Linked DNA regions of Tamandua tetradactyla. The protein of the gene in region 4 purifies or fractionates together with the protein of the main gene of each other region. This does not show direct contact. Links are inferred from orthologs where the notes say so. Each region holds a gene or a part of one and is shown on either strand. Other genes may lie near its edges.

Region 1 (7,162 bases), on a different chromosome or scaffold from region 4:
ATCCCACAGCAGCTGGTATGCGTCTCTATCACAAAGCTTGCAACTAAGCTATGTAATTAGGTGTTTACATGAGTTCTCTACTCCAGTCTACGAGTACCTTGTGGGCTGTGTCTTACTTGTTTCTTTGTCCTCGGCTTCTAGGCCAGTGTCTGGTGTCTGTTTCCTGATTGAACACACTACAGAATCTTGAATGGCTGCTAGGGATGGTACCTGGGGAGATAGGGTATTTGGGCACAGCCCACTCTCTCTGCCCACCTGGTAAAGGTTGTTCTGAATGTCCACGACTTCCTGGGGCAGCAAAGCCAGGCAACAGAGCAGCACGGCTGGGGCTTCATGGATCACTGCCAGGTGGATCAGCCTGGGGGGAGGGGGGACTTGAGGTCAGGGCCCAGGCCAGAAAAGATAGGCTGGGATCCTAGGGTTAGAAGGAACACACAACCACTAATTAGCCACCCAAAAGATTGGCACAGAAAGTGAGAGTTTGGACTAGGAAGTGAGAGTTGGGATGATAAGTCAGGATGCTGTAGTGGGAGCTCCATGTTGCCATGTCTGGCCTTCAAGAGGACCTTGCAGGCTGGTAGTGTGGGCAGGGTGCTAACAGGACAAGGGCCTTCCTGTCCCCTGCCCACACCCCATCCTCTCTGCCTCAACGGCCCAGCTAGATCAACTGTAGCTCAAAGCCAAACTGAAAGCTGATGGGGTAGCCCAGAGGGGGTTTCCAAAGTTGAGCTCCCCACCTACCCCCACCCCAAAACGGAGGACAGAAGTGGGTGAGGTAGGGGGTCACTCTCACCCCAGCAATGCAATGTTACACATTCCAAGGGAGAGAAAACAAAGCTTGGAGGAGGAGCAAGGAGAGAGTGAAGCATCCTATCATACGGCCCTCAGACAGAAGTTCAAGAGGGCTACTCCTCTGATAGGACAGACCAGGTGGGGCTCGACTAGGGGCTCTGAACTCCTGCAAATATCTCTGAGGGGAGGTCTGGGCAGTGTAGAAAATGTGTGTGTGCTGGGGGCCAAGAACTTTAACCTGGGGGTGAGGTGGGCAGCTGAGAGGGGAAGTTCCAGCCATGGGGTTTCCCCCACATCAGGTGAGGAAAATGAAAGCCGGAGCTCGAGGGTCTGGGTGGGACAGCTGCCTTGGGGCATTAGTGAAAGGGGCAGCTTGGCTAAAAGGCCTGTCTGGGCTGGGGAAGGGGCTGCTCAGGAGGGAGGGGGCTGGCTTTGGCAGCAGGCGAGGCCCAGGAGACCCAGGAGAGAGTGACGGGGAGGGGAGGAACCACTCTGGAAATCCCCTCGGCCAGGGCCTGCTCTCTGGGTCACATTCCTGGAGCCACCTCCCTCTCTCCCGCACTCTCCCCTCCTCCCACTTCCTCTTCCACTTCTATACCTCGGAAGGAGGAAAGTGGCTCCTCCCCAGGCACCTCAGGGAGAGGAAAGTGCCCTCTCCCCTCTGGGGACCCCCTGGGAAGTCCTGCCTCCCACTGCTCTACAATTCACACTGAATCCAAACACCTGACTCTAACTAGAGATGGTAAAAGCTGGGGCTGAGAGGCAAAGAGGGGAGGCCAGGGTCAGAAATCCCCCTCACTCCCTGACTCAAAGGCCAGCCATAGGAGGTGCTCCTACATAGCACCTCCAAAATCTTGGAGTTCTGGGCCTGAGTGCTGGTGACCCAGGCACAGAGTGCAAAAAGACCGGGAGTCACTACTTTCCCAAGCACCGGGTCCAAAGGCCATCATTGCCAAAGGCTACCCAGGATTAGGCCCCTTGCACCTCCAAAAAAGCAGGTCAGGGCAGACATCCCTGCCTCCCCTTCATCCCAGCGGCCCTGATCTGGGAACCCAGCTCCCCCTACCCACCCCACCCCCAACTTTGTTTCTAACTCCCAAACCTCAGCCACCCCTTATCCTGTCAGTGTCTTCTACTTTCTGAAGGGTAAATCCTCAGCAGGCTAGACCTCACACATATGATTCTACCTGGCCCAGTCCCCATCAAGCTCCACCTGGGCCTAGGGGAGGAAACGTGAAGTGAGGAGGTCAGACAGGACAGTGAGGAGGATTGGGGGCTCAGGAGGTAGAGTGGGTGAAGGAGGCTGACTCGAGCCCTCACTTCCCCTTTCTCAGCAGAGGAAGTAAGCTGGGGCAGCCAGCAGCCTGTCTGCTGCAGAAAGGGTGCCCCAGTCTGGCTCTCCTCCTCAGAGACAGCTCAGCTCTGCAGCCCAGCACTTCTCCCAGCCTCCCAGTCCCCAATGGCAACCTGTAGCTGGCAGGAGTGGGGCATCCCAGATATTGAGCAAACAAGGATGCCTGCCCCCATCCATCAAGAAAAAAAACAAAACAAAACAACTGGACTGGTCAGGGGAATTTTCTCTTCCTCAGGGTAGGTTATTTGGTAGGTTGCTGGCTGGGGTACTAGCCTCCTGCATAAGAGCCCTGCGGGCTCTGGGCACCCCTGAAAGGGAAGGTAGAGGAATGATGACAGGCCCTCTAGTCTGGGCTCAGCGAGAGCCCAAAAGTGGACTGAGAGTTAAGTTTGTAGTTAGCGCGAGCCTCAGAGCATGGTGTCCAGCTTGCTGGGGCTCCCGGAGGAAAAGGGGTCCCACCTCAGCCTCGCCCCCCGTACTCACGTGTCTCCGTCCTCGGAGATGTAGGTGAGGGCTTCCAGCTGCTGAGGGCTCAGCGCCCCCGCGGGGAGAAGCGGCAAGCCTGTGGCCGGGTTCTCGGCCTCGGGACCCCCCAGCAAGGGTAGGGGTTCGGTGAGCGAGGAGGAGCCATAGGTGGAGTCAGCCCGCTCCCCATCCGCGTCTTCTTTCTCCTGTGGCTCCTCGGCGGTCCTCGGGGGCTGGGTCCAGGGCTGGCGGCCGCCGCCTTCCGAGGACCCGGGACCCGCGGCGGGGGCGGGCTCGGGCAGCGAGCGGAGAGAACGCAGAGACTCGATGCCCGAGTCGCACTGGCTCTCGTCCGCCTCGTCTGGCCCCTTCCGCGCCTCGGACATGCTCGCGGCGCCCGCCCGCGGGGGCCCGGACCCAGCAGGATCCAGCTCCCGGCGCCGCCGCGCCGCCTTTCCGGGTTGCGGGCTCGCCTCGCGGGGCGGGCGCCAGGCCCCGAGAGGCCTCCTACCTGGACTGAGGGAGCCCAGCGGGTCGGCGAGAAGCGAGGACGAGGATCCTAGCGCTGATCGAATCCACCGCAGCGGATACTTGGAGCAGCTGGGCTTCCCCGCTCGGTTCCCTCTCGCGCTCCGCCCCTCGGACCCCCGCGAGAGGGTGCAGCGCTCCCGGTGGCCCCACCCCTGACGGGCGCTTCCGGACGGAGGCCCCGCCCCAACGGAATCCCCCTCGCCCCGCCCTCTGAGTTGGCTCGAGTCTGGGGTTACCCGTTCCTGACTCACCCGTTGGTTGGTTAATTTGCCCATTCATTCTTTCACTCACTCTTTTTCTTTTCCTTCTTCGTTCCATTCACTAATTCCATATATTCATTGTTCCCTCACTTTACTCATTTCATTCACCTCTTTGTGTGTTCGTTTCTAAAGGAATATCTATTAATTGCCCGCATGAGCTGGACGTCTTGGGGGGGGGACAGGTGGGTGGCGGGACGGGCAATCATTGCTTCCTATTTCACTCAATTTCTCTTGCTTTCTCACCTTTCCGCATGAGTGCCCAGGCGTTTGGGTGGGGAAACACCATCACCACCACCAAAAAGTCTTGAAAGGAGCACTTCTCCCCTTGGGTCTTGGCTAAGGGTCTCCTGTGCCAATCACACAGATCACATAGAATTGGGCATGAGGATGCGTTTTGGGAAAGCAGGTTTTCTCGGGTAGAATGGTGTCTAAAAAACCGAGTGTGGCCATGAGTTTCTTTTTCACAGGGGTGAAACACTGGCCTGGGGTGGTTGCAGCATCTAGTTACTCTGAATGGTTAGGGAAGTTCAGTTCCTTGTGGTGGGACCAGGAAAGGAAGCTGCAGACATATATTCTGCTGACGTCCTTGCCACAGCCACAGTCCCAGCACAGCTTTCCTCTTTCCCTGTGTCTGCATCCCTGGGCCCAGGGGAGGCCTTAGGAGAACCCCCAACCACCCTCACCTTGCCTAGAAGGGGAAGAATAGGAAATGGAGGCAGGACAGGACATGGTAAGTCCCAAATCAGTGCCCCATGGTTTATCCTTTCTTCCCTTCTCCCTCCACCCCCACCCCACACACCAGCAACCTAGGGCCCAGCGATGCTCTTAGAGAGTCATCCCAAGGGAACATCTACCTTTTCCATCTCCAACATTGGGGGGTGGGTGTAGACAGCTACAAACCAGTTTCCCCACTGCTTTTCCCTGTGCAACCTCATTTCATTGATCCACCCATTCATCCATTTGAGACGAACATCTATGAGTTTCTTCTATATGTCTAACATTGTTCCCTTTGCTGGAGGTATAACCAAGTATCACAGTAACACTAATAACCAACCACCACCAGCAGCAAACATCCCATGGTGCCAATCTTTAAAAAGCTGCTTGGCAAATACACACAGAGCTCTGGGGCTAAGACAAGATAAGAACAGAGTGTGGTGAGGGCACACAGAGGAGGCCCACGCAGTAGGGTAAGGAGCAGGGAAGGTGTATTCACACTGGGAGTGGGAAGGGAGAAGGACTAGGGAGAAAGACCCAGTCTCTGAGGGGTAAATGAAGAGAGGAGAGTGGGGGAGGGTATTCTAGTTTGCAAGCTGCCGGAATGCAACACAGCAGAGATAGATTGGCTTTCAATAAAAGGGAATTTATTTAGTTAATGTATAGTTCTTCAGAGGAAAGGCAGCTAACTTTCAACTGAGGTTCTTTCTTACGTGGGAAAGCACAGGGTAATCTCTGCTGACCTTCTCTCCAGGCCTTTGGGGTTCCAACAACTTTCCCCGGGGTGATTCCTTTCTGCATCTCCAGAGGCCTGGGTTTAGCTGTGAGTGCTGAGATGAGGTATACTGAGTTGTTTGGGCTGTGCCACATTGAGCTCTCTCAGTTAAGCACCAACCAATTAAATCAAACATCATTCATTGCAGCAGGCACGCCTCCTAGCCGACTGCAGATTGTAATCAGCAACAGATGAGGTTCACATGCCATTGGCTCATGTCCACAGCAACAGAACTAGGCACCTTCACCTAGCCAAGTTGACACCTGAATCTAACTACCACAGAGGGCTATGGGGAGAAGATGACCCACTGTTCTCCATCCCCATGGAGACCCAAAGTGGAGGGCTTCTGTGGAGCATTTGTGGAGCATGAAGCACTGAGCAGCCACCAGGGAGAGCTTTTTATCATAACATGTTGGGGTGGGAAAGCCCAAGGGAACTGAGTCACCCCCTTCCCTTTGGGCAAGTGTGACTTCAAACGTTCTCAGTCTCCTGATATGTTCCTCTCCCATCCTCAAAGGCTGATACTCATCCTCAAGAGTACAGTAGTAGGGGTGATGGAAAAGTTGTGGTAATGGATAGTGGTGCTGGTAACACAACATCGTAAATGTAATTAATGCCAATGAATTGTGTACTCGAATGTGGTTAAAATGAGAAATTTTATGTTTTATATCTATATATACACATATATGTTACCTGGACTGCCTCCGTTCAAAGTCTGAAATTCTTATCCCCATTATACAGTTAGGAAGCTGAGGCTCAGAGAGGCAAGTTGACTTGCCAAAGGTCAAATAGAAAGTGCAGAGCCAGTTTTCCCTGTTTCTAGTGCAAAGCTTAAAAAATTTTTTTTCAGTGAAACCTTCTTTGCTTTATCAGTGGAATGGAGACATCTAAGCCCTCTGCAAGGACACAAGAACTCAGGAGTGTAGAGTGACCGCTTCTCTCTTTCACCCAGAGGCTACATTTAAGGAACCCCACCAGGTGTCTGGCCTGAGCCATGAAATGTGACAGGCATATGACAACCCCTTTCCTGGCCACACGAGGTCAGCATTGAGTCACCTACTGTCCCCAGCACTAGTGCCTGCACTCTTGACAGGAAACCCTCCTGAGGACAGTGTAGCAATGGGCAGAGGGAGCAAGGCAGTGTCACCTGGAAGGATGGCCTAGGGACTTTGATTTTGATCAGGACTCTGATTTCACCTCCTCATCCTTGTTCTTCTCTGAGCCCAGGCCCCTCTAGTCCTCTTCTCTCTTCTGGTGTTCCCCGGTTCCCTTTGTCATGCCCCAAATCCCCACCTCTGCCCACCCCAGTCAGGCTCATCTTCAAGAAAAAAGTCCAGTTGCCATGGTAACCAGCTGGTCAGCTGGCTTCTTCCACAGCACCCTCCTTCCTCCCCCTCTTTTCCTTGAACCTTCAGTGTGTGTGAATGTAGAAGAGTGGGTGATCTTTTGTCTCTTGGGAGCACCGGGTTAGCCAGAAGGAGTTAGGCTGTCCCTCTTATGAAGCCCCTTGAAATGGAAATGAGAAGGCAGTGGGAGTGGGGGCAGGAGGAGGATTATAACAACTAAATGGGGTGTGGGCTGAGAAAGGCCAGGGTTAGAACCTCTGCCCTCTGCAGTGAGGAGTGAACTAGGTGGAATGAGCTGAAGCAGAACAGGAGGAGTTGGAGTTAGCTGTAAGGCAGAACTTACCAAAAAGTATGGGTGGGAGATATTGCAATGAGTCGTTGAGTGAGATTCATCCTCTGCCATGGGGGTGAACACGAACCCCGCCTCTTCAGGACCACGACCCCTTCTCTGTTCAGGCAGGGGGGATGGACTCACTGATCTTGAGAGGGTCAAGCTGGATAGTTCTGAAGCCAAGGCAGTCAGAAAGCCACCCTCACCTCCACCTAGAAAGGGAAGAGTAGAAAAAAGGAGGCAGGACAGGGGCATGGGGGGGGAGGGGGCTGGGGTGGGAGCAGTGGCTCTTCTTCCCCAGATGAGGGATCCGATGACCCCAGACAGATCACTGTGATTGGCCCTCCCCCCAAAGATCAGATATACACGCTTTGCCTGACACTAACTTCCTACCCCCAAATATCCCTATGGACTTTGTTTTTTTTAAGAGAAGTTGTAGGTTTACAGGAAAATCATGCATAAAATACAGAGTTCCCATATACTACCCTAATATTAATACTTTGCATTAGTGTGGTACTTCATTACAGCTCATGAACAAACATTTTTATAATTGTACTATTAGCTGTGGTCCATCATTTACAATACTGTTTGTAT
Region 2 (7,339 bases), on a different chromosome or scaffold from region 4:
TTCAGTGTCTGAACCTGACTCCTGGAAGGGGTGGGATGAGGTGGCCAGGCCAAGAGGAGGGTCAGGGAAGGAGACAGGAGGGTAGGGGTGACATCCAGGTTTGGGGAGAAGCTCTGGCTGGGGAGGTGGTCCTCAGGAGGTGAGGGGTGATGCAAGGACAGTGCTGGGGTCAGCATGCAGGCTCTGGGTGGGAAACCTGACCCTGTAGCTCCCTAGTGTATAACTGTGGGCCAGTGGCGTCACGTTTCTGGGTCTCCGTGTGTCTTGTCTCTGAAATGGAGCCCGCCTCAGTGTGGCCAAAAAGAGGGTATGAGCTGACATGGGTGAGGGGCTTAGACCAGCATCCTGGGGGTTAACTGCTTGGGAAATGCTTTGTGGTCATCACCTGCCCCGGTCCTTGCCTCTGTCCTATGTCTGGCCTTCAAGTCAACCTCACCAAAGTCACAGGCCTGTCCTCACCCTGCTGGCCCTGTCACCCTCCTCCTTGAAGCCCTAGATAGCCTCCACTTCTGACCCTTCCCTCTCCTTTATTGACCCCTCCCCTCAGCTCCCAAATAGCTGATCTTTGAGACTCCATCCTGGGCCCTCTTTGCTTTCTTTTCCCCTGCCCACCCCACCCCCATCCCCAGACCACCGCTCTCACCCACACCCATGGCCTAAGCTTAGACACTGAGGACGCCCACCTCTTTGTCTTCAGATCCGGGGGTGCCCTGTGGCCTCCTGGACGCCTGTCTCTGGGTGACCCCCAGGGCCATCACTCCCATGTGTCCCAAACTAGCCTCCGTGTTTCCCCCAAGTCTGTTCCTCCTTTCGAGCCCCTTCTCAGGGCAGCCTCACCGGCCCCCAGGCTCCCCACTAGAATCCTGAGCCTCATCCTGAATGCCTCCCATGCCCTTGCTTTCCCATCACAGCTCATCAGCCCTGCAGATGTCCACTCAGGCTGAATACCCTCCAGCTGCTCCCCCTGTCCTTTCCCATCCAGGCCCTGCCCTGGCCTCCTTCCTGGGCTCTGGGGCTGATTCTCTGCCTCCCATCTACCCTCTCCTTCACAGGCCCTTCGTTGTTTCTCCAGTCTAAGCATCCAACCATGAACAGCTATGGAGTACCCACGATGTTAGCTCCAGGAGAGCAGGGACTTGTCTGCTGTGTTCATCCCTGAATCCCCAGCTCCTGGAACAGGGTCTGGCCTAGCAGAAGCTCTAGAACCATCCACCATTGGACGGGTTGCCTGCGGTCTATTAGCTCAGGGATGGGTTGTGGTCTGACTACCTCACTCTCCTGTTAAAAACCTATCGGACCATTCTCCCCTCCCCCCAACTCACTACCCTGGTTCTGAGCCTTTTTAATAGGACACCCCCACCCCCGTCCAACCATATTTTTACATTTTTATTGTTTTTTAAGATTACACAAGGTTGGCAAAAACATTGAACATTAGAAAATGCACAACTTGGGGTACTGCTTCTCACCCATTGTCCACCAAGATAACTATTAAGCTTCTAATATGAATTGCTCCAGATTTTTTCTCTGTAAATAAAACCTCATTATCTCTACTTTTCTGATATGAGGATAGCACCTTCTTTGGAATGAGAAATCTCCTAATTGCTCAGAACATGTCCCCCTCAACTAATGCCCACCTGTTCAATGACGACCCTACTTGTGCAGGACTGGTTACCTGGGCAGTTGTGAATATCCAGAAGTTCTGCCGATCAGTGTCTCTAGTCTTACCCCGTTAAAAAAATTCATAAGACTTGACCCCTTTCCCCCTCAAATGAATGTATTGGTGGTTAAAAACAAAACAAAAAAACAAAAACCTAATTATCTTCACAGAAATGGGTCCCACCCAGGCAGGCTGCTGCACTCTGCAGTTTTTCACAGAATTAACTCCTGCAGACCCACCTCGTTGGGTTAAGCAGCCATATAGGATTGCATTGTGTGGGTGTGCCAGCCTTCACTTAACCCATCCACTGACAGCCCTTTGGGCCATGTCCAGTTTTGCCCTATTCTAGACAACACTGCAATTTACATCCTTGTGTCTCTCTCTCTGGCACTGAGGGTCCCTTCTTAATAGTAAACCTTTTTCTCTGAGCCACAAGTGACAGTAGCCACACTCTGGAGCTAGGCGATGGAGAAACCCTGGCTTGACAGGAAGCTCTTCTACCCTCACTATCCCTCTGTTGGGCCTTCGTGAGGAACTGTGACACGGCCTCTGCACCGACCTACATCTGAAAAGCATTGGTAGCAGGCTGGGCTCCTTCAGGCTGTAGACAATGAGGCTCTGTGGGAGGATGGCAGGCCCTGTCCAGCTCGTGGGGCAGCCCTGCCTGCAGAGGAGGTGGAGGTGCTGGCTGACGCCCATAAGCTTCTGGAAGGCTGCCCTGACCACCTCCTGCTTAGCACCTATGAGGCAGGGGGCCGGGTGTCTTAGGTTTGGCGTCCCTATTCCTCTAGCCAAGGGATAGGGGACAAGTCGCTTTAACAACTCTCCCTCAAAATGGCAATGACAGGCCTTCCCCCCACAGGGATGTTGGGAAGATTAAATAAGACGATGTACCCAAAACACTAAGCAGAATATCTGCGACAGAGTAAGTACCCAATAAAAAAAATTTTTTTTTTTTTTTTACCATTCCCAGCCATCAAGCTACCCAATACTTTTCTGCCTCCAGGCTTTCCCTCTGCCTGGAACACCATTTCTCATCTTGTCCAGGAAAATTCCAAGTCACTCCTCACTTATTATATTGTGTCGATAACTCAGTCTTACCTAGATCCGTCTGTGGATTTCTCCAAGGAGGGGCCTGGGTGGTTTCTTCTGTGACCCCACAAAGTATATTCTGGCCCCCACAGCACCCTGAGCTACCTCCACAGTCACCCTGGAGGGTTGGTTTCTATCAGGGACCAAATCCCATGCTTGTCTCTTCTGGGCCCAGCACGAATGAGGTTCAGAAGGATTGGTGGGGAGGGGACAGAAAAGAGGTAAGCTTGGAAGGGCAGGCCTGGGACTGAGGCAGTATACCCTTCTTTGGCAGGCCCCACAATCTACCATCCCCCAGGACGCTGCACCTTGGGGTGGGACGAGGGATTGGGGCAGTGAGCTGAGAGCCTAGTGTGGGATAGTGGGAACAAATCCATCTCTCTCCTTCCCTCCAGTCCACCCTTTCCCCCCATCTCACCTGAGCCTCCTGCACCTTCCCTGTCTGGGTCTCCAGAGGGTCAGAGGCTGGGGGAGGAGGGGGAGCAGACGTGGTTACAGTGGAGGGAATGGTTAAGGTGGAATGAAAGGGTTCAAAGTGGGAGTGGGGGCTAGGAAGACCTAATTATACTAGTGAGGGGAGTGGTAAAAACCGAATAGAGGTAGGGAAGGGAAAAGCAGATCTTAAGGAGAAGCTGGAGAGGGGAAGGGTTTGGAGGAGAGAGAGGAGAAAGGAAGGGATAAAGGGTTTGGAGGAAGTCTCAGGAGTAGTTAGGAAAGCATAATAGTGTGTGTAGGGGCAGAGGGAAGTTTAGAAAGGAGGAGAGGAGATAGGAAGGGATACCCTGCTGGGAGCCGGGTTTGGAAGAGGAGGTGCCGGGATAGGGATGGGTGGTTGGTGGCAAGTTAAGGAGAGGCACAGGTACTTGAGGCAAGAGATAGAAGGGGACACCAGGGGATCCCCTGGCATCCTACAACCAGGTACCCTTAGCAACCAGGACGGCGGCAACCCACGTCCTTAGTAACGAGGGTCTTTAGCAACCGAAGTGCGAGAAACATGCGATTATTAGCAATTTGGGGCACTAGGCAAATGGGCCCTTAAAACTCTCGCGACCCAGACACTCATTAATCAAACACCACGGATCACTTAGCAACGGCCCCTCAAATCCCACTGCCCCCACGCTGCCCGATCTCCTGCCCCACCGCGCCTGCTCTCGGGCCCCGGGGCCTGCAGCCTGCTGTCAGGCCCCGACGCGGCCCGATCCTCCCACCCGGGCCCCTGACTCACGGTCCGGCTCGGCCATGGGCGCGGGACCGGGGCCCTCGGGGCTGTCACCGACCTCTCTGCCCCGTGACGGCACCGGAAACGGGAGGGGCAGTGAGGAGGCAAAGGACTACAACTCCCAGAAGCCACGACCACCGCATACGAGTGATTAGCACAACGCCGCGAGCGTTTCTCTTCGGATAAGGGAGATGAGAGGGCCGGACTACAAGTTCCAGAGGGCCTGGCGTCGGCAGCCATGTTGGTAAAGGGCGCCCGGAAAATGTGGGAATGGGTCGAAAGCTGTAGTACAATAGGACGTTCTGATTGGTCTTGGAGCGGAATGGGGCGGGGAGAGAGAGCTTTGACCCACTCTGATTGGGCAAAGTAGGGGGAGTGTTGGGGAATTCCCCGCAGGGCGGAAGGGTTAGGATCCAGGCAGAGCCCAGCAGTAGCCTGGCTGGGTGCCGCGGGGGACTCCGGAGGCTGCGGGGCTATGGCCGGGGTCGCGTGCCTGGGGAAAGCTGCAGACGCGGATGAGTGGTGTGACAGTGGTCTGGGCTCACTGGGCCCGGACGCAGCAGCCCCCGGAGGACCAGGGTTGGGTCCGGAGTTGGGCCCGGGGCTGTCGTGGGCTCCCCTCGTCTTCGGCTACGTCACTGAAGATGGGGACACGTGAGTGAATCTTAGACTCCCAAGTCTAGCCCAAAGATCAGTTTAACCTGATTCTCCTATGGTGTCTGATCCCGGCTCCCTAACCTCTTACCACTAAATCTGACCTCTAAGCCTTGACTTCCTGACCTCTAACCCCCAAGTCCTAACCTTTGATAACATCAATCTCTTACTCAACTTTGATTCTAACACATTTCTGACTCTCCTTTCTTGAATCTGATTCTCAGCTCCTGGAATCCACATCCCTTCCCATTGATCTGAAAACCGGATTTGAACGTTTTGACTCCAGTCCTGAGACGTTTGTTAGAACTCTGACTCCAGCTCCTCCTGATCTCCAACCTCCAAGATGATCTTTGATCCTTAGCTGGTGACTTATGAGCCTTATACTTTGATTTCTGAAAGTAATATTTGGCCTCTGTTTCTAAGATCCTGCCTTCTGAGCACTAATTTCAAATCTTACATTTAAAGAGAGAATATAGGGTCCCTGAGAACACGGATTCATCCCTTCAACAATTATTCATTGAACTGTTTGTTTTAGGCGCTGGAGTTAAAACAATGAAGACAATAGACAGATATATGACCTTGTGGAACATACATTCTAGTAGGGGTAGACAAATGGACAGAAGGAAAGACAGAAAGGAGAGAAAGAAAGACAGGAAGTAAGAGGCAGAGAGAGAAAAAGAAAGAGAGAGAGAGAGAGAGAGAGAAATGAAACAAATAGCAGGGAAGAAGAGCATTCCAGCAGAAGGAACCACAAGGGAGTGTACCTAGGGATTTTTGTCTGTTACATTTATTGCTTCCCCAGTGACCCAAACAATGCCTGATACTTGGTGGGCACTTCATAAATATTGATCTTATCAAAGAATCAGCTCTTGGTTTCATTAATTTTCTCTATTGTTTTAATGCTCTTTTGTTGATTTCTGTTCTCATTATTATTATTCTATTGGCTTACTTTGGATTTAATCAGCTCTTTTTCTAGTTTCTTAAAATATAAGCTGAGGCCATTGATTTGAGACTTTTCTTCTTTGCTATTATGGGCATATAACACTATATATTTCCTCCTATGTATTGCTTTAGCAAGATCTCACAAATTCTGATATGTTGTGTTCTCATTTTTATTCAATATTCTTTCTAGTTTCTCTTGATATCCTCTTTCACCCATGGATTATTTAAAAGTATGCCATTTCGTTTCCAAACATTTGGGAGATTTTCCAGCTATCTTTCTCATTTTTATTCAATATTCTTTCTAGTTTCTCTTGATATCCTCTTTCACCCATGGATTATTTAAAAGTATGTCATTTCGTTTCCAAACATTTGGGAGATTTTCCAGCTATCTTTCTCTTGAGTTTTTTTAATTCCATGTAGGCAGAGAATATATTTAGCATGAATTAAATCCTTTAAAATTTGTTGAGACTCAGAATGGCCCAGAATATGGTCTAGCTTGGTAATTGTTGTGTATGCACTTGAGAAGAATGTGTACATTGTGTTGTTACTGGGTGAAGTGTTCTCTAAATGTCAGTTAGGCCAAATTGGTTTATAGGGTTGTTGAAGTCGACTAATCCTTGCTAGTTTTCTGTCCACTCAGTCTACCAGTTATAGAGAGAGGAATATTGAATCCCCAAGTATAATTGGGCCTTTGTCTATTTCTTCTTTTAGTTTTCTCAGTTTTTGCTTTGTGTATTTTGAAGTTCTGTTATTAGGGGAACAAAGATTTAGATTGTTAAGTCTTCTTGTCTAATTGACCCCTTTACCATTATAAAATTACCTTCTTTAGCCTTGTAATAGTCTCTGCTTTGAAATCTACTTTGATATTAAATATTTATTTCAACTTTCTTTTGACTAGTGTAGCATGGAATATCTTTTTCATCATTTTATTTTTAACTTATTTGTGTCTTTATATTTAAAGGGCATTTCTTGTAGGCAACATATAGTTGGGTTTTGCTTTTTTATTCAATCTGACAATTCTGCCTTTTAATTAAGGTGTTTAAACACTTTAAATTTAATGTAAACTGTTGATATGGTTATGTTCAAATTGATCATCTTTCTGTTTCGTCCCACCGGTTCTATGTTTCCTGTTCCCTCTTTTTTCTGCTTTCTTCTGGAATACCTGAGTATTTTGTAACTCAACTTTATTTCCTTTGTTGGCTTTTTAGCTATAACTTTTTGTTGTTGTTGTTGTTATTTTAGTGGTTGCTTTAAGGCAGGGGATGCCATACTATGACCCGTAAGCAAAATCCAGCCAGCCTCCTGTATGGCTGTAAGCTAAGAATGGTTTTTACATTTTTTGTTGTTGTTTTCTGTTTTGTTTTTTTGGCATGGGCAAGCACCGGGAATCGGACCTGGGTTTCAGCATGGCAGGCAAGAACTCTGCCACTGCACCAGCATGGCCTGCCTGTTTTTCACATTTTTAAATGGCTAAAAAATATTCAGATATTTTGTGACGAGTGAAAATGATATGAAATTCAAATTTCAGTGTCTATCAATAAAGTTTTATTGGAACATAGCCATGCTCACTGATTTACATTTTATTTATAGCTGCCTTTGTGTCACAACAGCAGAGTTGAATAGTCAGGATAGAGACCATGTGGTTCAGAGAGCCTCAAATATTTGCTATCTGGACCGTTACAGAAAGTTTGCTGGGCAGGCCACGGTGGCTTAGCAGGCAGAGTTCTCGCCTGCCATGCCGGAGACCCAGGTTTGATTCCCTGTGCCTGCCCATG
Region 3 (7,214 bases), on a different chromosome or scaffold from region 4:
TAATTAGAATGTCAGAATTCTCACCTGGCTTGCTGGAGATACGGATTTGATTCCCGGTGCCTGTCCATGCAAAAAAAAAAAAAAACCCTACAAAGATATTTAATTAAAGTTATGGGTTTACAGAACAATCATGCATAAAATTCAGGATTCCACATACCATCTTAGTATTAACGCCTTGCACTGGTGTACATTTACTACAATTGATGAAGACATTTTATAATTGTACTATTTTTATAATTGTACTATTAATTATTGTCCATGTTTAACTTAGGGTTCACTAATTGCGTTGTGCAGTTCATCTGTGTATTTTAATTTGTAAAATACTCCTAGTTATAAGATAGCTAAATGGGTAACTGACCAAAGCTGAAGAGTGGCTTCAAAATCAGGAAGAATGATTTAACCTGCTGTGTAAGACAATCAAATGAAGGCTGAGAATCAATTCTTAGCACTGTGATCATCTGGAAATCTTTTCAGGATGGTGGGGACTAGGTTTCACCTTTCACTAAGTGTTTGTGTCAACTACATGCTAGATAGAGAGTATACAAAATGAAAAGCTATCATCCCTACTCTCAAATTACCTACTCTATTTGAGGAAGACTAGGGTCTTAACAGATAACTCTCATGGAGGTATGTAAAAACAAAACAAAAATGCATAATGGACAAATGTTCATACCAGGGGAGGTAGGAAAGAGCTCACAGGAATCCTTCTTATCAAAGTTAAGAATAACAATTTGTTTGACAGCCCAGAAGGTCTGGACTTTGGAGACAACCCCCCCCCAAAAAAAAAAAACCCTATGGTTTTGGGTGAAACTTCAACAAATACTAAGTACCATGAACAGTAGTGGATGATGAGCCTAAATAATGAATAAGTGCAGTACAGACCATACTGCATACAGGAATGCCACCATTTTTCCCATGTGAGGCTTACTACACAGCCAGGCACAGTCTGTTCATAAGAGTGGTTCTGAAGTAAAACAATCCTCAAATGATCCACATTGCTTCAAAAAAACTTTTTTTTAAATTTTCCACATTGCTTTTTAAAAACAGGAGTAACTTCAATGATGTCACAGATGGTTGCATAGACTGACACTGATGGGTGAAGGATTTGAGAAGTCTTGAAATAAACGTATTCATTCAATTGGGGGGGGGGTTGTGGGGACTAAATCTAAAGAAAATTCACAGGAGAATAGATCATAGTTCATTAGCTCTCAGGTTCTCTCAGTAAGGAAGGATATGACCAGGACAAGCCTCACTGGCTAGGCACTGAATTCTGTGTTGTCCTAGAAGGAACAAAGGGAAAGGATTGTAAAAAGGAAGGTGGCTATTGTATTTCTGGATCAAAATCTAGGCCTTTTCCTCAGAACCTGGGATAAAATTAGAGCCTACTTCTCATTTCAGGCATAGACCAGCATAGAACCACGGAAAAAAACAGACTTTGAAGCTGAACAGAACAGTCACAATTAACTAAAGGATCTGAGCCTTAGTATTCTCATCTGTAAAAAAGGATGATAATCTCTTCAATCGGTGAAAGGATTAAGCTCGACAATATAAATGTTAGTTTCTTTCCCCCGCCCTAGACAGCTTAGGTGTGGCCCTTTGCTGAATATGCCAAACAGCTGTTTAGAATCTCCAGAGCATGGTTTACAAGATTGAGTAATGCTGGTTTTTCCCTCCAGGAAGTTTCTTCCTTCCAGTTTCTTCCCTTACTATTTACCAAACTCTGGTTTAGGAACTAATTACTTGAAAAAGCCACTTAAAAATTCATGTTCTCAAACCTTTCTCGGCTCCCGTGCGTTATCGTGGGCACCAGGCACTGCCTTGACGGGAAGAAGCACTCCGGCGAGTTCGCGGAGCTGTATGTGCCGCGGCAACGCTCCGCCAGCAGCTTCACCATTGGCACCAAGGACCACACTCCCGTCCAGATCAATGGGACCGAGCTGCACAAGGTCACAGGCAGGTTCAGCAGCCAGTTTAAAACTTACAGTCTGCGAGGAAATTCGCAGGATGAGGAAGTCAGATGACACCATTCCTGGACTGGCCAAGGCTGAAGGCATCACTTTAGAGAACTTCCTATTGAACAGTCATGGATGTGGAATATTTGTAATACAAAGTAACCACCTCCCCACCCCCACCCCACACTCCTCTCCCAATCATATTCTGAAGACCCATTCTACCCTCTAACCCACATTTACTAGGTCTAGGGTGGGGTCTAGGAACCTGATTAAGAAATACCCCATAGGATTCTGATATAGACTAGTCTTTGGAAACTTTAATCCAGGGAAAGATGCAAGGAATTGTACGTAATGTGATGAGTTTTATAATAAAGGTGTACAAAGAAGATTGAGCTGTGCAGGCAGTATGGGCAGAAATTTTCTTTTCAGGAGGTAGAAGGTAGCAATAAAAGTTTTTAAAACAGTTTTTTAATTAAGCCCATTTATATAAACAGTAATACAAGGAACTGTGAATAAATTTCTGTGGATTACTCTGGGTTGGAATCTGGCACCTACAAACTTATTTTTGTGACCTTGGCCAAGTTACCCCAATTTTTTCCCCTGTAAAATACATAATAATGTCCCAAATACTTAAGTTCTATCTTCCTTATAAGAATTACTTAAGAAATGCAAAGTCCTAATGGACCTAGGTATCTAATACAGCAGGCACTCCACAATCATTTTCTCTCTTCCAGCCCCTGTCCAAATCAGCAGCGGCCTCACTTCCTACCTTCAAAGGGCTTAACATCTTTTAGGAGAATCCAGACTTTAAAACATGACAGCATATAATGAAGTGCTGTAATGCAGATAATAAAGTGACAACATACAAGATACAAGTACTAAAAGAATAACTTCATGTCATTTACAAGCCACCCAGGCCTTCTCCACCAAAACTAGGGTAAAGGGGATGCAAAATGGAGGACAGAATTCAGGTGACTTGTGCAAAATCTTCTTTCATCACTGTGGTTATAAAAAGCAGTAACTCGGCTATCTTGCTTTATGTTTCGGCGATATTTACAATTAAGGGCGGGGGTGCGGGTATCGGAGAAGCAGTTCAGGACTTGGAGTACGGAAGATTCCCTAACGCGCTTTAGCCTGAAAGACAAGCTCTTGAAAACTAAACCGGTCATTAAGAAACTAGTGCCTTTGTCGGATAATTTAATGAAATGGCGTTCGCTGGACTCTCTTGCAAAATTGGTCATTTAAGTGTTAACTACTTTTGCAAGCGCTGACGCCAAATTTCGTGATGCCTGCACTCAGAGGGCTTACACCCACACTCTAAGGCATTCGTCCGCCAGGGGAGGAATGAGACGTCAGCGTTGCCTTTTAAAGGCTGTTAAATAAGGACTCAAACGAGCCAGAGTGGATGGGTGGAAATTCGCGCCAAAAGCGACTTCTTAGTCCTGGGCCTGACACCTGTGGAGTTGGAAAGCTCGGTTTAAGCATACTACCTAATAACTAAAGACGTCTCCTGGGAGGGCCAATATGGCGACGGTCTTCTCCTGGCACAGCCCAGTCCCCTCCCACCATGGGCGGCTCTAAGTAACGCCCATTAGTCAATATGAGGGAGGTGTCTGGATTACCTAGCCCCCTCGTTGGGCCGAATGACTGAGCGAGACGCCAATTCTCCCTTGGCCACTCCAAGTTCCCGCCCTCAGAGCTCATTAGGCGGGTAATTGGCTTTTCGTCCACGTCAATATGAGTCCTAACCTGTCTCTTTTCAGATTTTACCCAATCATAACTTTCCTGACTGCCCGCCTGATATCTGATTGGTTTTAATCTGCTTCATCCTATCCCATTCCTGCCTACTTCTTACTTCTCCTCCCCAGGACTTTGCCCAGGCACGTCCAAGATTCTGGTTGGTCGTTGGTCTGTCACTCCTATCAAAGTTCTCCCTATACCTACCTCTCAGGGAGCCCGCCTGGCCGTTGACTGGTTTCCCTGAAAGCCCGTCATGTCTAGCTCCTGCCCACTTTCACTTCCTGCATTTTTCATTGGTTTTTAAAATTTTGAAGGCGGTCTTTTTGGGCGGACACCAGGTACGCAACTCTGCATTACACGCCCTAGAGCGCAAGCGAGCCTTGCCATTGGATAATCTGCCCGCCTTTCTTCTGCAAGTCCCTCCTTTCCCCCTCCCTCATTGGGCGGGGCAGCAGCGAAGGGGCGGAGCCTAGGCCGGGCTTGTGGCGCGCTGCTCCCTCCTCCTTAACCCCCCCTCCCTGTCCGGTCTAGGTTCGCTTGCCTCGTCAGCGTCCGCGTTTTTCCTGGCCCCCCCCAACCCCCCCGGACAGGACCCCCTTGAGCTCGTCCCTCAGCTGCCACCATGAGCGGTAAGGATGAGTCCACTCCGAGCTTAGGGGTGGGAGGGGAGTAAGGGGGCGCGCGCAAGGACCGACCGGGCGGTCCCCGCCGTGAGGGGGGGCGGGCGGGAGGCGGCGGCGGCGGCCTTGGTCCCGCCCGGGGCGGAGGGAAGGGAGGGAGAAGGGGCAGTGGCGGGGCCTCCGAGGAGGAGGGGGATGGGCCGCCCGCCCCGGGGGAGGGGGCAGCGTGGCCTCGCCCGCCCCCTGCCCGCCCCGGCCACGGGGGACGGGCCTTACCCCCCACTACTCGTCCGCCTGCCTGAGGCTCCTCCTGTGTGGGGCTGGAGCCGCGGGGGCGGCCCGAGTGCTGCAGGCCCCGCCCGGGCCAACCGCCTCCCTGGTTCGCCCTCTGGTCACCGCCTGCCCCAAGGCCCTCCCTCCCCTTCCCCTACATTTCCCCTCCCCCCACCGGCCCGCCCTTTCCACGCCCCTCACCCCGAAACCGCCCTTTCCCTCTAGGACCCGCCCTCTTCCCGCCCCGAAACCTCCTGATATCTAACCCCAGACCCCTTTTACCGGTTTACTGTATTCGCGGGTTTCCCCATCGCACACATTTTTTACCTTTTCTTTACCGGTTTCTCCTTCTCTTCTCTTGCTACTTTATACATTCGTATTTTTCCTCCATTTTCTTTAACCATAATTTTAGCAAGCTTCCCATCCACCCACATGTTGTTTTTTGCCTTGCCTCTCCTTCTCCTTTTTTTCTCCCGCATACTTTTTCTTATTTTAAAACTTTCAACATGCCCACAGTCCCTCATAGTTCCAATCCCAAAAGCATATTTTGAATGTTTTCAGAGTTTAATTTTGTGCAAAGAAAAATTGAGGCCCAGTTCTGGCACCACTAAGCTTATTCACAGTCTACAGTTTTCTCCCTCAGTCCACTTTCTTTACCTTGGCGTCCTTCACCTTTCTCTTAGTTATTTCTGTTTCATCATAGCCTCCTTTGTCACTTTACCCTTTCTCACTTTACCTTGTTTCTTCCCTTAACTTTAAGTTGTTTGCCTTTTCGTTCTTTTTAGACCAAGATCACTCCATGGATGAAATGACAGCCGTGGTGAAGATTGAAAAAGGAGTTGGTGGCAACAATGGGGGCAGTGGTAATGGTGGTGGTGCCTTTTCTCAGGCTCGCAGCAGCAGCACTGGCAGTAGCAGCAGTGGAGGAGGGCAAGTAAGTGATAGTGGGACACAATGAAAGAAGGTATTGAGGGGATGTAAGTGCTTCTAGATAATTGCCTTACTCTTTGCAGAATAAAATTTAGGAAGAAACAGAACTGTTTTTCAGGTGGGGAAGTAAGCACAGAGAGACGACTACCTTGGAGATCTTCAAAGACAGGAATTTCAGCAATATAGATAGGCTGGCTTTTTGTTTCTGTTTTTGCTCATGTGTCTGCACTATTTTGCTCTATGTTATGTACTTCCCCCTGGGTTGGTAGCTTGTTATCACTAACTCCTTTCCTTTTCTATATTTTCTGGCTAGGAATCCCAGCCATCCCCTTTGGCCCTGTTGGCAGCAACATGCAGCAGAATTGAGTCACCCAATGAGAACAGCAATAACTCCCAGGGGCCAGGCCAGGCTGGGGGCACAGGTGAGCTGGACCTTACAGCCACACAACTCTCACAGGGTGCCAATGGCTGGCAGATCATCTCTTCCTCCTCTGGGGCTACTCCTACCTCAAAGGAACAAAGTGGTAGCAGTACCAGTGGCAGCAACGGCAGTGAGTCTTCCAAGAATCGCACAGTCTCTGGTGGGCAGTATGTTGTGGCTGCTACACCCAATTTACAGAACCAGCAAGTCCTGACAGGACTACCTGGGGTGATGCCCAACATTCAGTATCAAGTAATTCCACAGTTCCAGACTGTTGATGGGCAACAGCTGCAATTTGCTGCCACTGGGGCCCAAGTGCAGCAGGATGGTTCTGGTCAAATACAGATCATACCAGGTGCAAGCCAACAAATCATCACAAATCGAGGAAGTGGAGGCAACATTATTGCTGCTATGCCAAACCTCCTCCAGCAGGCTGTCCCCCTTCAGGGCCTAGCTAATAATGTGCTCTCAGGACAGGCTCAGTATGTGGCCAATGTACCAGTGGCCCTGAATGGGAACATCACCTTGCTACCTGTCAATAGCGTTTCTGCAGCTACCTTGACTCCCAGCTCTCAGGCAGTCACGATCAGCAGCTCTGGGTCCCAAGAGAGCAGCTCACAGCCTGTCACTTCAGGGACTGCCATCAGTTCTGCCAACTTGGTATCATCGCAAGCCAGTTCCAGTTCCTTTTTCACCAATGCCAATAGCTACTCAACAACTACTACCACCAGCAACATGGGAATTATGAACTTTACCACCAGTGGATCAGCAGGGACCAACTCTCAAGGTCAGACACCTCAAAGGATCAGTGGGCTACAGGGATCTGATGCTTTGAACATCCAGCAGAACCAGACATCTGGAGGCTCACTGCAAGCAAGTCAACAGAAAGAGGGGGAGCAAAACCAGCAGACACAGCAACAACAGATTCTTATCCAGCCTCAGCTAGTTCAAGGAGGACAGGCCCTCCAGGCCCTTCAAGCTGCACCATTGTCAGGGCAGACCTTTACAACTCAAGCTATCTCCCAGGAAACCCTCCAGAACCTCCAGCTTCAGGCTGTTCCAAACTCTGGTCCTATCATCATCCGGACACCAACAGTGGGGCCCAACGGACAGGTCAGTTGGCAAACTCTTCAGCTGCAGAACCTCCAAGTTCAGAACCCACAGGCCCAGACAATCACCTTGGCCCCAATGCAGGGTGTTTCCTTGGGACAGACCAGCAGCAGCAACACCACCCTTACACCCATTGCCTCAGCTGCCTCCATCCCTGCCGGCACAGTT
Region 4 (7,013 bases):
GTGCCATGTACAGAGTAAGAAAACTTAGTAAAAATTCATTTTCTTTTCTTAACCCATTCCCACTACTGTGAGAGTTTCTTCCCAGGGCAACTCTTACTTCACCAACCTCTAGGAGTTCTATTTTTGCTTCTAATGCTTTTCTCCAGGGAAAATCATTAAAAATGTAATAGCTGTGAAGTCTGGGAAATAGAAGCAAGACAAACCTGGCAAACAGACAATCAGGAATAACGTGATTCTCTCTGAGCAAGGTTTCAGAGTAACAACATATGATTATCCTAGTTGCCACAAGGCCAGATCAGTGTTACATTTTAAAGGCTTTCCTTCTTATCCCTAACTGGACTCTTTCTCTGTGCTCCTACTCAGAGAGATGCTCACTATATGAGTATCAATGTTTTAAATCACAAATTAGAGTAGTTTAGAAAAGAGACCCTTCATTAATTTTTTAAGTGGCCTCATGAGTTATACTCGTTAGGACTTGAAAATACACTGATTCAAAGCCTTACTATTTATCTTTTCCTATAAAATTCTATCTTATCTGTGTGTAACAATTTTATTAGCAACACACATCAAAATATTAGCATGGATTCTTGGGTAAAGCCTCCCTTATTTTTGCACCTTATCAAGAAGATGAACAAATAGTGAATCACACATGGTTTGGAATGACTCAAAGTCCTAAAGAATAGACTTGGTAATTGTTATATATAATTTCCCAGGAAAACTTGCACAAGTTTGTGAATTTGGTGGATTTTAAAAAATCCACCATTCAAAGGGGAAATTTCAAGCTAGAAGGGATACATAGAGATAACACAATCCAATGTTTTTACACAACATGAGACAACGTAAAGAATTCAATCAAGTATATTTATATATTTTTTAAATTTAAGGATTATTTTGAAATATTCATAGCTATAGTCAAAGAAATTTAAATATATAATGAGAATTTTAAAGATTTGGTTTCGATGTCTTCCTTCTTTTACTTTTAATTTAAAATGTTATAGTGCTAAACATGAGTCATGTAAGCTACAAATTGCATTCAGCCACATTTTGTTACTTGCTATTGTTCTGGCTCAGCTTCGCACACATTTATAATATGCTTAAAAAGAGATAATACTAACATCTATATACCTAGTAGTTTAGAAAGGGAAGAAAATGTTTAGAGCAGAAGAAGTATTTTAAAAAGCAAGTGGGAAAATGAAAATGAAATACTGCAACACATCCATTCTTGTGACAATATGAAATGCAGGTAAAACTTCTTATGTCAGTTAAATATTAAAAATAGAGAGATAAAAAGTACTTCTATGTTTGTGTATAACAATAAGGAAATTTAAAAGATATTTTTCATGGACTTTAGGAAACAAATTAGATGTTCATAATATGCTTTTTCCCAACTCTCCATTAAAATGTCCATGAACATAGATCTTTTTAAAAATGGCAATAGTTGCAGAAGATCTTATGACAAATTAGGAATGGGATTTTCTCAAAAACCAGTTGCAATGCAGAAAGATAGGGTATATAACAAATTCTCCCACCCTCTGAACCAAAACCAGTCCATCCCAAAGGAAATGGGAATATATTTCAACACACCTTCTACTTCATTCTTCAATTAACTTCACCTATCTTGACTATGTGATAGGTAACAGAATATATGGACATTTCCCAAATCCATAAAAAGAGAGTTGTCTAATGCCCTCCACTTCCAAATCAGAAGTGAGAAAGTGGACATAAAACACACATAATTAAGGCAAAATGTATTCGTATATTCGATGTATAATTTCTGTAAAAAGACTCTTTCCATTTTCAAATTATCAGTGTATTTATCTCTTTTACTCTTTTCAGACACATGATTTTCATCTTAGTTTTCTCTAAATAACTATTTGTCTGGATTACAAATGAAATTGCAAAGGGAAAGACTAGGGTATTATCGGGTTTTTTTCACCCTAAAATAGGATTTTGCAACAAGGCAACAAAAAGCCTTGCATGTCAGTTCAGACATGTATATAATCTATATATATAATATAAATCCTGGGGATTTATTATAAGGAATTGGCGCACATAACTGCAGGCATACTTCAAACTGGAAACTCTGATAAAGGTGATACTGGAGTCTTTAGTCCAAATTCACCAGGGGAGGCTGAAATTGAGTCCAAATTCCTCTTCTAATCTCTGATATCTTGGCTTTTAAGACCTCCAACTGATCGTATGAGAAGACTCCCCACTTTGCTGAGAGCAATTGCCTTTGTTGATCTTGGAGGCAATCAAAGGATTATATCCACAAAGCCGATCTACAAAATAACCTTCACAGAAGCAAAAAGGACAGTGCTTGACCAGACCACTGGATACCATATCCTAGGCAAGTTCCCACATGAAATCAACCATCACAAAGTATTAGAGTTGAAGAAGGAAAGTTCTGCTTTCTTAAGAATGCTTGACCACATCACACAAATGTTAATAAGAAGTGTAGTACATTTGAATTTTAGTCACCAACTCAAATGCATCAGAAATACAATCCAGTTTATTTCCCTACAAATCAACTTTAAAAAATCTATTACAAGTCCTCATTCCATCAGAGGTCAGTCAATTTGGGGCTCTCTTCTCCCCTTTCACTGGGGTGGCTTATGTGGGGCCAAGGTGAGACACAGGACATCTGCTTCTCATTCGGTCAGCCACATAGGCACTGACCGGCTGAGACATTCATCGTTCAGACTGGTCCTCACCCCTTGTATGTCATCAACCCAGACAAGGTGAGACTGAGATGTACTAGTTCCTGTGGCAATGGCCCCTTCATCTCTGGCAGCTCCCAGCACTTCTCCCACGCCATGCTTAAAGAGAACAAGGACCACTGGGCTGCCTCACACCATCCTAAATCATTGGCACTCTGGGCACAGTGTTTACCTCTTTAGGCAGATGCCTTTTCCCAGAGCTCTGATTCTGAGACAAAGCATAAAGTTCTCTAAAGGGAACTCCTGTGATGACGTCTCCTCCATTTGTCCTCATTCTCTTTCCTATCTGAGAAATATTTTTCTATTGTCTGAGTAGAAGATACCTATTCTTCCAAACTATTAGAGTTCAAACAGTTTATCTATACTTCACATAGCCCTAAAGACTCTGATCTTTACAAAGGCAAATTACATACAATTACAAAATAATAATTCACAATAAGTTATAAATTTATTTATAATAAAATAATTTAATTAATGCTCATATAGGACAGAATTTTAACAAGAACATTTAGTCAAAATAAGAATGATACTTGTGGGCGGTGCAAAAGTGGCTCCGTGGCAAGAACTCTTGCCTGCTGAGCTAGAGACCAGGGTTCCATTCCCAGAGCCTGCCCATGAAACAAACAAACAAAAAAGTTATGGTTAAAATTAGTGCATGCAATTCACTGGAACAAGGTAAAAATACATACAATATTCTAGACAAGTCTTCTATATGAAGTTAGATAAAGCGTGGGGGTAAAGCAGCAAGTGAAAATATTAAACTTCTGAGTAAACGGGAGACTGCAAGGATATAAAAGGGAGGCATACCCAATGCTAATCACTGCACTGCACTACTAGTTAATTGAACAGTTTTAAAGAGTATATCATTCAATATATGTTAAAACTAGAGAATTTTTAAATATCCACCTTTAAAATATCTCTATTTCTGAAACATCCTATTTTGGGATTCATGCAACAGTATATGAAACGTGAAGTTATCATTTAGATAAAAACATTTTCAAGGGAAAAAAGATCTGTAACATCTATCACCATCAGCCTTAAATGCATTTCCACCATGATCTATCAATTTAAAATATGGAACGCTTCACAAATTTGCGTGTCATCCTTGCGCAGGGGCCATGCTGATCTACTCTGTATTGTTCCCCGAAATAAATTAACACGGTCTTTTTCCCCTCTCGGCCTAGCCCAGGCTTGTCAGAGCCTAAAATCCACCCCAGGCATCCGCCGGCGTCTCTGCTTTGTGTACTGAGTTTGATTTGCCATCAAGTCCCAGTTTGGGAGACGCCCTCGCACCAGGTACGTCTGGTGTGTCTCAGGATTTTCAGTTTGCTTTTGGGGGCGGGAGGGAAGGGGCGCGCGTGTCCCGCCTAGAAGGCGGCTGGGTGTGCTGGAGGCAAGTGCTGCCGGGCCAGAGCGCAGTCGGAGGGCTCCGAGATCGGATTACGGGACTGCAGGACCAGGGGCGCAAGAGTGGGCCCGGGGCTCGCAGGGCTGGGTGCGTCCTCCGGTGCCGGGGTCGCTGGCACTCCCTCCTCCACCGTCAGGATCTGGCAGAAGATGAGAGTGAGCGCAGGAAGAGGAGTGTTTTGGCAGGGTTCCAACCCTGGGCTGGCAGCTGGCGCCGAACCACCGGAGGGCAGAGGCGCCTGCGGTTGCGCTGCCTGTATCCACGAGGGGCGCTGGGGCCCGTGACGGGGCGAGCGCGGGCTCTGCGCGAGGGTCAGAGGAAAAGATTTCCGCTCCCGAGTGCTGCCCGGGTGGTCCCAGGCGTCCGGTAAGGCTGATGGTCATGGTGGGGAGGGAGCTCCGGAAGCGACACGTGGAGCGCTGAGCGGAGGAGTCGGCGAAGTCTGTATGCTATTTATTTTTAAAGGAAGTACAGTCCATTTCACTTCCAAAGATTATACACTATTAACTCACCATTATATTATTCTCATTCTTTGAAACCTTATTTATTCTTTTCTGCTTGAACTATTTTGTTGGAATCTTTTCACTGTAAATAATAGAAACAGAATTCAAACTAGCATAGCACATTAAAAGAACTAGTTTGTTAATATAACTGGATTTCTAAAATGTAACTGCTTCAGGAAAGGCTGGATCTAGGGAATCAAATGATGCCATTGGTACTGTCTTACTTTCTCCATCTCTTAGTTTATTTGCTTCAATTTTCATTTCTCAGGCCTGGAATTCCAGGTTTATATGGTTCTTACATGCACTCACAGAAGTAGACTCCCCTTCTCCCAGGGTGCGTGCCTATCAGGACTTGATAGTTTACTAAATTACCTACCCCAGGAACTAAGGCTCTGGGGTTAGAAGGAGACGCCACTTTGATTGGTCAGCTCAGGTCATACGCTATCTTAGGTCCGATGCCACAGAAGCAGATCTTGAGCCAAGGATTCAGTCGAGAGTGATTTATTAAGGACATGTTCTCAGAAGAAATCATTAAGGATATGGGGAAATCAGGATAGAGAAGGAAAGTAGCCAAGCTGTTTCCAAAGCCTCATACGGAATCTGTGGAGTGCAAATTACACTTCCGAGTTTGTCCCTCTGCCAGAGAAGCTGAGGTAGGGAGAGATTACAGGACCGTAAAACTCCCAGTCGCTTTGAGCTGTCCTCAAAGTCAAGCTATCCAGTGCCCAAGGGTCAGCGTCTGAAGGGCTTAGGTACAAACCGTCAGTGGCAGAGCACACAAAAGGTGCATATGGGTTCATAGAACTGGTAAAAAAGGGTTCCGAATAAATCTGAGTGGGACACCAACAGTGCTAACTGTGCCCAGTTCTGTGGTGAACGAACAACCTCCTGATTGGACACCACCAAAACATTCTCATGGCTTGGGGAAGGGGCAGTTCCCAGATGAAAGGATGTGGGGCAAAAAATAGTAACTGGCCACTCTGTCTTTCAGAGCCTGGGATCAGGCTGTTAAAGATTCCTGTGAGGATAGCATTTTTCTACATTTATCATGTTCTCCTAATAATTTTGGCATAATATGTTGATCCTACTTTATTCAATGTATAAAGGTTGTCACAACTTTTTTGTTGTGAGTAACATTCATGACAAAAAGGACTTTTTTTAATTATTATTATTATTTTTTGACGTGAGCAGGTGCCGGGAATCAAACCCGGGTCCTCTGGCATGGCAGGCAAGCAGTCTTGCCTGCTGAGCCACCGTGGCCTGCCCAGGACCTTCTTTTTAACTATTTATTGTTTTGACCCTTATATCTATTCTGTCAAATCAATTCTTCTATCTCTTCTTTTAAAATTTGACTTACAAATTTTTATTTATTCTCTTTTAAACTTTGCGTTCTGTTGTTTTGTTTCAGGTTTATGTCTTGTCTTGAAAGCAGCACACAGACTGCTTTTTAAACCTTATTTGGTAAAATTTTATCATTTTAATTGGGGAGTAAAACTAATTTATATTTATTATCACAACCAGTGTTTGGTCTTGTACTATCTTGGGTTATGCTTTCTGGTTTTGTTTTGTTTTTTTTAATGACTTTTATGCCGCTTCCTCTGTTTCTGTCATTTGTTGTTTTGGTTGATTTTATCTTCTGTAGATTTGGAAGATTGCAAGGCTGTTTTAAGTTCTCTTGGTACCCTTAAAGGTTTAGAAATCATTCTTTTCTGTTTTTCATTTTCACATAATACTAAGAAATATTTCCCCATGTTTTTACTTTCTCTCAATTCACATTCTTCTCACTAATTCGTTGTCTTTATTCATATTATCTGAACACTTATGCCCATGTTATAGTTATTTGGTTTTATATATAATTTTACAGTATTCTTTTTTAAAAACAATTTCTGACATTTGTGTTCTTTTTTATAATCAAAACTTGAAACAATTATTAGACCTACTTCTATGTTTGACTTTGTTCAATGTATACTATAATTGCTTTCATAGCATAACTTTTCCATGCTTTAGTTTATTTTATTAACTTCACAGTCAGCTGAAATACTCTTCAAAATAATTTTTTACTAAAAAGCATGGTTAATGATGAATTTTCTGAGCCCTTATCTGTAAAAAAAAATGTCTTCCTGTTACTTTGAGATGAACAAAAACACGATTGGATATAGAATTCTTGAGTCAGTTTTTCCCTTTCTTTATATAAAAGATTCTGTTTTAAGCTGACATTTAGTAATGTGAAGGAAGATTTTCAAGTCTGCCTGATTTTTGTTTCATAGTAACATGTTTTATTTCGAAAAGATTATTTTAGAATTATTTTTTCTTGTCCTTGAAATTTAAAGCCTTTGCCAAAATACGCTTTTATTTCCATTAATTTTATTTATAATGTATGTC

Evidence for each region.
Region 1: the proteins of NFKB1 (region 4) and NFKBIE purify together in Homo sapiens (affinity purification with mass spectrometry; 4 studies listed by BioGRID and IntAct, with this or other methods). This does not show direct contact. The link is inferred for Tamandua tetradactyla from reciprocal best matches to the Homo sapiens genes NFKB1 and NFKBIE.
Region 2: the proteins of NFKB1 (region 4) and NFKBIB purify together in Homo sapiens (affinity purification with mass spectrometry; 7 studies listed by BioGRID and IntAct, counting the BioPlex papers as one, with this or other methods). This does not show direct contact. The link is inferred for Tamandua tetradactyla from reciprocal best matches to the Homo sapiens genes NFKB1 and NFKBIB.
Region 3: the proteins of NFKB1 (region 4) and SP1 purify together in Homo sapiens (affinity purification with western blotting, with the first as the bait; 3 studies listed by BioGRID). This does not show direct contact. The link is inferred for Tamandua tetradactyla from reciprocal best matches to the Homo sapiens genes NFKB1 and SP1.

Annotation. Positions count from the first base shown.
Region 1 is NC_135331.1:101,876,890-101,884,051, forward strand, and holds the start of NFKBIE (NF-kappa-B inhibitor epsilon), read right to left. Parts: upstream 3,013-7,162; 5' UTR 2,998-3,012; coding exon 2,630-2,997; intron 359-2,629; coding exon 256-358; intron 1-255. UniProt on the Homo sapiens protein: Sequesters NF-kappa-B transcription factor complexes in the cytoplasm, thereby inhibiting their activity. Sequestered complexes include NFKB1-RELA (p50-p65) and NFKB1-REL (p50-c-Rel) complexes.
Region 2 is NC_135342.1:25,108,049-25,115,387, reverse strand, and holds the start of NFKBIB (NF-kappa-B inhibitor beta), read left to right. Parts: upstream 1-4,322; 5' UTR 4,323-4,443; coding exon 4,444-4,622; intron 4,623-7,339. Other genes in the region: SIRT2 (NAD-dependent protein deacetylase sirtuin-2), read right to left, coding at 1-21, 3,975-4,208. UniProt on the Homo sapiens protein: Inhibits NF-kappa-B by complexing with and trapping it in the cytoplasm.
Region 3 is NC_135333.1:114,748,254-114,755,467, forward strand, and holds the start of SP1 (transcription factor Sp1), read left to right. Parts: upstream 1-4,207; 5' UTR 4,208-4,314; coding exon 4,315-4,321; exon of another isoform or gene 4,322-4,346; intron 4,347-4,578; exon of another isoform or gene 4,579-4,703; intron 4,704-5,370; coding exon 5,371-5,519; intron 5,520-5,828; coding exon 5,829-7,214. UniProt on the Homo sapiens protein: Transcription factor that can activate or repress transcription in response to physiological and pathological stimuli.
Region 4 is NC_135350.1:21,621,237-21,628,249, reverse strand, and holds the start of NFKB1 (nuclear factor NF-kappa-B p105 subunit), read left to right. Parts: upstream 1-3,999; 5' UTR 4,000-4,016; intron 4,017-4,342; exon of another isoform or gene 4,343-4,494; intron 4,495-7,013.